Linked DNA regions of Tribolium castaneum. The protein of the gene in region 1 interacts with the protein of each later gene in a pairwise test. Links are inferred from orthologs where the notes say so. Each region holds a gene or a part of one and is shown in the gene's direction. Other genes may lie near its edges.

What was found.
Region 2: the proteins of Rchy1 (region 1) and androgen-induced gene 1 protein interact in binary tests that used the Homo sapiens proteins (3 or more experiments, as listed by UniProt). The link is inferred for Tribolium castaneum from reciprocal best matches to the Homo sapiens genes RCHY1 and AIG1.

What each region holds. Positions count from the first base shown.
Region 1 is NC_087396.1:15,621,111-15,624,833, reverse strand, and holds Rchy1 (RING finger and CHY zinc finger domain-containing protein 1), read left to right. Parts: upstream 1-1,354; 5' UTR 1,355-1,523; coding exon 1,524-1,622; intron 1,623-1,724; coding exon 1,725-1,886; intron 1,887-1,934; coding exon 1,935-2,090; intron 2,091-2,202; coding exon 2,203-2,481; intron 2,482-2,528; coding exon 2,529-2,622; intron 2,623-2,667; coding exon 2,668-2,762; 3' UTR 2,763-3,170; downstream 3,171-3,723. Other genes in the region: Not10 (CCR4-NOT transcription complex subunit 10), read right to left, coding at 1-372, 422-563, 619-775, 825-916. UniProt on the Homo sapiens protein: E3 ubiquitin-protein ligase that mediates ubiquitination of target proteins, including p53/TP53, TP73, HDAC1 and CDKN1B. Mediates ubiquitination and degradation of p53/TP53; preferentially acts on tetrameric p53/TP53.
Region 2 is NC_087399.1:6,621,986-6,625,305, reverse strand, and holds androgen-induced gene 1 protein, read left to right. Parts: upstream 1-1,655; 5' UTR 1,656-1,784; coding exon 1,785-1,943; intron 1,944-1,989; coding exon 1,990-2,094; intron 2,095-2,141; coding exon 2,142-2,582; 3' UTR 2,583-2,820; downstream 2,821-3,320. UniProt on the Homo sapiens protein: Hydrolyzes bioactive fatty-acid esters of hydroxy-fatty acids (FAHFAs), but not other major classes of lipids. Show a preference for FAHFAs with branching distal from the carboxylate head group of the lipids.

The sequences.
Region 1 (3,723 bases):
GTTTCTGGGACTCTATCAAGTTTCCTTTGAGGTATTCTAAATTAGCTGCCAGGAACAAGGCTTGGAAATTCTGTTTGTCTTTTAGCAAATTGCTGATTTCTTTGTTTGCGATTTCGAGATTGTGGTTCATTAGGTAACAACGGATTTTGTATTTAATTAGTTTTTTCTTAAACTCTTCCATTGCTGGGTCTAGGGGCTGTGGCGCTTTCTTGTCTTTCTCTTTAACGGTTTTGTCCAACAATTTGATGTTTGGCGTCCCGTTGATTAATTGATTTTCCAGATAATTTATTAAACTGAGCGCTTTATCAGACTGACGCACACATAGCTGTAACTCAATGGCAAAAAGACTAACTTGTTTGGCTAATGCGTCATCTGTAACAAAGTAAATTAAAAACAAACAGTCACGTTGGAAAAATTGTACCCATTGGTTCAATAAATTTGTACACTCGATCCATTATGTAAATTGCATTAGTGTACTGTTGTTGATGATATAACAGAATGGCCTGATTATAATGAACAATGCATTGGTCCACATCATCTAATTTATCGAGACGAATCTTAAACTAAAAGTTAATGAGCCTTATTAAAAGATTCCCACCAGGAGGACGACTGTAATACTTGATTGCAAATTGAGGTTAAATTCTTTTGAAATGTTTCGTTCTTCCTAAAATCGCTTTTGCAATATTCCACAAGAGCTTTATTGTGGGCCACTTTAAAATCGTTAGTTCTATTGTCCAGTTTATTGATAAATTGGAGCGCACCGGCGTAATTATTTCTACAAAAGGGTCAATAGTTTTCGTTTTTTTTGGAAGCCTTAAACATACTTTTTAAACTCATTCAAAGCCTTTTGTGCATATTCCTGCTCCTGCTCTGTTACAACGTCCACAGCTCGTTCAAACTCTTCTTTCTCAGCCATTGTATTTATTGGATTTTTTGCAAACACAGGCACTACTTTTTTATTCACAAGCTTTCTATAAGTGAGGTTATGTAACAATAAACCCGACTTTCACTACTGTAAAAAACCTACGGATCGTAAAATTTACGTTAATGGAAGTTTAAGTTCGTTGTTATATTTCTGTGAAATAATTCAAATCTTTAGTTCCAAAAAATTTTCGAAAAAAAATTTTTTGACAGGTCAGTGGCGACTCGTGAAGTCCAAGATTTAAATTTTGAATACACGAAAATACCACAGAAAAAATTTGATCGTTTTTCGGCTTTAAATGTCGTCTGAATTATTTGATCATCAATGAGTGTAAACTTTGCAAGAAATTTGAAAAAATCCTGTAAAAATTCATACAAGTTGGCCAACCGAATGTGATTTGCTAGTAACAATTCTAGTGTTTTTTTCTCCCTGAATGAAATTGACATTTGGGAGGCAATCCGTGTTGCCTACCCGTTTATTTATTTAGTTCAAGATCGCCTCTAATTTATTCCGTATGCTGTCGTATTTCTAAAATTAGTGCCAGAAACAGATTTTCTCGAATTGCACAGTCATACGGCGGCGTTTAATCAAATCCCGGCGGATGATGGAAGGGGCAGCTACTCCGGTCGCTGAGGGGCCACCCGAAGAGGCAATTAAGCCAATTGGCTGCTCCCATTACAAAAGAAAATCCAAATTCGTGGTGAGTTTTTGCTAGAACAGACCGTCCGGCCAATGTTGTTTATTGAGTTTAATTGAATTAGCGCCAATTATTGACTCAATCACGTCGTGTTTTCTTTTCAAGACTCCGTGCTGCAAGAAAGTGTACACTTGTCGGTTCTGTCACGACGAAAAGGAGGATCACTCAGTGAACAGGAAAGAAGTCACGGAGTTAATCTGCACGATATGCGAGAAAAGGCAGCCTGTTCAAGCAGAGTGTCAGAACTGTGGCATCAGATTTGGCAAAGTAAGTCCGTGGGAAATGATTCTGATGCAATTTAAGCGCCTGTTTCAGTACACTTGCTTGGAGTGCAATCTTTTCGACGATGAAGACAAGAACCAGTTCCATTGCTCTGGCTGTGGCATTTGCAGGATTGGGGGCTCGGACAAATTTTTCCATTGCGAGAAATGCAACATGTGCCTGCCAATCCAGCTCAAAAACGGGCATAAAGTAAGGGTGAAAAATATCAAACTCATGTAAACACCATTCCAAAATTAAACGCTGCGCATGCGTGTGTAGACTAGATTTCAGCCGTGTAAGACATCCGAACTTGTTTTTGCAGTGTGTGGAGAACGTATCGCGCGCCAATTGTCCTGTCTGTCTTGAGGACATCCATACTTCCAGAATTCCATGCCATATTCCAATGTGTGGCCATTTGTTACACCGCACTTGTTTCAACCAATTACTCAAAGCGGGACATTATGCTTGTCCCATATGTCAGACGTCCCTTATGGATATGACCCAGTTGTGGAAGTATCTTGATAATGAAGTTGCTCATACGCCAATGCCGCCACAGTATAACTGTTATTTAGTGCAAATTTTATGCAAGGATTGTCATAAGGTGATATGGTAAAATTGTATGGCTTGTTGTAACTTTGACTCATTTAGGAAGGAACTGTAAAGTTTCACGTGATTGGTTGCAAGTGTATTCATTGCGGTTCTTACAATACTTGTCGGATTAAGGGGCCGTTTAAGCCGTCAGGTTGGTATTAAAGTTTTTGAAAAAAAAATGTAATGTTGGTTGTAGGGAGGAATAGGCAAAACAGTTCAAGTCAAGCACAGTCTCTTCAGTATGAAAACGACGATGACGGTCCATCTAGCTCAAGTGCTCAAGAATCATGAAATTATTATCATTAGACGTCGATTCCATTACCATTAATTAAGTCAATTCGGCAGGTTACAACGTATTCTTCGCATTTCATATTTAATTATATTATCAAATAGTACTATTAGATGAACGTCCCTACCAATACCCTGAATATTAGTATGTATATATAAGTTGTACATAGTGTACAAGTTTGTGTGATTTTATTTTTATATGATCATTTACAAATATTCAATCTGTTGATGTTATTGATGTTTTAAACAATAAATAGATCTCCTATTGATTGGTTATTGTTAAATTGGTTTAGGTTAGTTATATGCGATTGAACAAATTATTTGTATCATAGGGAGCAGGTGGGTGGATGACCTAGGCTGAAACCCATTTCAATTTTAGTATTGAAACGAAACAATAAAAAGTCAGCGAAATGTTTGTTGTTTTATTAATGGGATTACCTTCCTTTTCATTTTTATGCCTTAAAAAACCGTACCCAAAAGACTCATGGGCTTCGAAAATTGCTCGAATTGATTCAAGAAAAAACTATCAAAAAAAAAAATTGGCGCTTCGTCTCATACAAAAACTAAATACTTGAGCATGTGATTTTTTCTACAATTCCTTGTAATTAAATAATGTTAAGTTGGTGCAAAAAAATACATAAAATATGTTTTGAAATGACACCAGAAATCATAAAACTTCGATTACTTAATTAATATTTTGATATTTTCAATCTTATTAATATTTATATTTTAAATTAATTTATATTATTTATTATAAGGACTGCATAGAGAAAAAATAAACTTGGATTTAATAGCAAACGATGATTTCCGTACGACTATAAGTTTTTGAAATATAGTAAAAAAGATTTTTAACAAACTCACCTTCTATTTTTCAGAAATGGTGCCAATACAGTTAAAGAAAAGTACGAAATTAAAATTACAGCAGAAAATTAAATTTCCCACTAAAAAGTCAGTGGGGCCATAA
Region 2 (3,320 bases), on another chromosome or scaffold:
AAATCGAGCGAAACAAGCTAAAACAATCTCTCATAATCTGGGGAATGATTTGCAGCTGGGTTTTAAGCTTAAAAAGGCTTTAAAAAAGCACAAATAATTTGGGAAATTTTGGAACTGTTTTTAAACAAAATTTTGCGCAATATTTATGTTTCTGGCTAAATAAAAACAATGCTAAAACACCAGATAAAACCAATTAATGGAGCTATCAAGTTAATTTAGAGATATTTAAAGGTTGTTGAAGCAAAATGTCACAAACCAAGTTTAAAAGCTTCAAAAATCGAAATAACAATTGCAAAACGAACTAAATCGCATCAAAAAATTAATAAAGTATCATTAATTTAGAACTAATTTTGTAATTTTTCAATTTAATTCTCTAATTTTTCACTAAATTTCATCAAAAAATACCGGACGTATAAGTTGATTCTACAATTTTAAAATTGTTTTTACCTTTCCTGTGACTTTCAGCATGTTTCTTTGACCGAAAATGGACATAATTTTCCAAAAAATCACCAAATTTGTGTATTTTCTAGTCAAAAATAGTGGACGTGCGCAAATCCTACCGGATTCGCAGTGGCCATGATTTTTATTAACAATGTTTTTCGGGACTTTACTAAACAAACTCAGTTAACTAAAAGTTTTTAGAAATTAATAATAATAATAATAATAATAATTATTATTATTATTATAATAATAATAGTAGTAATAATAACATTAATAATTTTAATAATAATAACAATAATAATAATAATAATAATAATAATAATAATACTAGGTTTGATTAATTGAAACCAAATTTACTATCCACGTAATCTATGAAATGTAATGTTGGTTGCTTCAAAAAAATTTCAGGCTCATTATTACTCGTGGACCATTCTGTAGGTACTAAAAACTTACTCAACAAAACTTTTTATCATGTTTTTTACGCATAATTTGCCTAATTATGTATGATACGCTTTCAACATGCATTTGTATATTTTAATGATAAGTTGTAGTTGTGGGTATTACGAAGTTACTTTCTTAAAAAAAAAAATAGAAAACAAATCCACATTTCCATAACCCACAAGTGCGTTGGAGTGCTATCAATGATAAACCTGTCCGATTCGTGTTTCCAATTTCGTTTTATTGCCAACAATCGTACAAATAATAATTATTTCTCCCGACTCCCCCTTCAAATCCTCTCAAACCGGCCAATTACATAATTCCCAATCTGAGAGGACCAAACGTGCGGAAATAAACTTAACAATGTCTAATTCAGTTCAACAAGTGCTTGTGTGTGCTTCTATGCGATAACTCTTATCTACTATCGTCATTAACGTGAAAGTGCCTCATCATGTCCCTCGTTTTTCCCTTCCATTGCCTCACCCTGGGGGTGTACATCCTCGCCTTCTGGTACGACCTCACCTACGTGGATATCCCCCAAATGCAGCACAAGAACGACATGAAATTCTTCAAAGGTCGGCTGAAATTTCTCACCATTTGGAACATGGTAAGTTCGCGCCAAAAAATTCAAACCGCCTCGGCCAAAATCACAGATCGCGTCCTACCCTAATCCCAACCACACTCAATCACGCACTCAATCAACAATCAAACAGCTTCAAGCACCGTTTAATCAATTTGTAAAACAGGGAGGGGTGCAAGTGCTTGTCTCGCGTCGGGTGAATTTAATTGTGTGGGTCAAATCCGCGATCGCGTCCTGTCCATAGTCGCTAACCTTTGCCCCCATAGAAAGTCTTTAAGGCTTTTCCGAGCGAGTGGCATGTCATTTGAAGCTAGGTAATGGTAAAATGGGTGTGAGAACTTTGTGTCATGGTCTCGCAGCGGTTCATTTCTGGTTCGGTTGCTATTACGACTGGAATTATGTTCAAATCCCGACAGAGGTCCACCGCATGGGGGACTCGTTCGGTAAAAGCGGAAAATTGAAGTTTTTAACCTACTGGGACGCGGTTAGTCAAGGCTGGGCCAAAAACTGGTAAAAACCTCTTTTTGCAGCTCCTCCAAGCCCTCTTCTTCACCATCTGTGTCATCAATGACCTTGTGGGGACCAACGAGGAGGCCCCCAAGAAAGCGCCACTCATCCGGAGAGTCAAAGACTTGGTTGGTAACACTGTCACTGCTTACCGCACTGTAACATGATTTTGTAGATTTTGCCCTGTTTGGCGTTTCCGTTGTCAATGTTTGTAGGCCTGACTTTCTGGGGGATTTACTTCGTCGACCGCGAGCTGATTTTCCCGCGGGCGCTGGACCAGTTCTTCCCCGCGTGGCTCAACCACGTCATGCACACCAACATAATGATTTTCATCCTAATCGAACTGTTCACATCTTATAGGAAGTACCCAGCTAGGAAAGTTGGGCTCACGATTTTGAGTCTGTTCATGTTGGTTTACTTGGTGTGGATTCACATCATTCATGCCTATTCGGGGATGTGGGTGTACCCCATTCTGGAGGTCCTGAACCTGCCGCTGAGGATCGTGTTTTTCATAGGCTTGTTGGGCTTGTCTGTGAGCCTGTATATTGTGGGTGAAAAGTTGAACGGGATTGTGTGGAGCCAGAAGAAGCACAGTTTGAAGAAGCGTTCAAATTAGGCGATAATTTAGCGTAGTTGAAGTGCATTTATATAAATTGTGATAGTCTGCACTGTTGGGTTTTTATGTGATTTTGTAAATCGTGGCTTAATTTATATCGTGAGTGGTCATACACTTTAAAAAATTCAATTGTGTTAGATTGTGCCTGAGGAAATTTGGCAATAAATTCCTTTCTAATATTTTAATAAATTCCATTAAATGTAGTAAACTAGGAAACAATAAAGCTAGTAATAGTAAACCGTAGTTTTATTCCAATGAAAATAAATAAATAAACATTGAAAAATAAACACATACAATTCGTGGTTATGCAACCAATAATACGATTATTGTTGTTAAATGATCCCAGTCAAACAAATAATAATAGAAATGAATTGCAATCAGTAATTACTGTTTGAATGTGGCGTGTAATGTGCAATTAAAAATTTTAAGTGCAAATTACTGTAAACTTGCATAAAAATGAGTGGGACAGGCAACCAACCGTACACTAATTGTTCAAGGGCGTCATGTTAATAAAAAGTTGCAAGTAATCACAATGTAAAATAATTGGTCAAAAAGCTGCATAAATTAAATGTTACCTTGGACTAGTGTTTACATAATTGTTATAAAATTCACCTACTTTTTTGGTTTACATCTTATCGTCTTGTATAGCAACTTTCTATTTGTGTGAGAATATGGATTAGATAACTTTCATAATTAAATCATGGATGAGAAAAGTAATGTTTGTTTCAATTTGCTGTG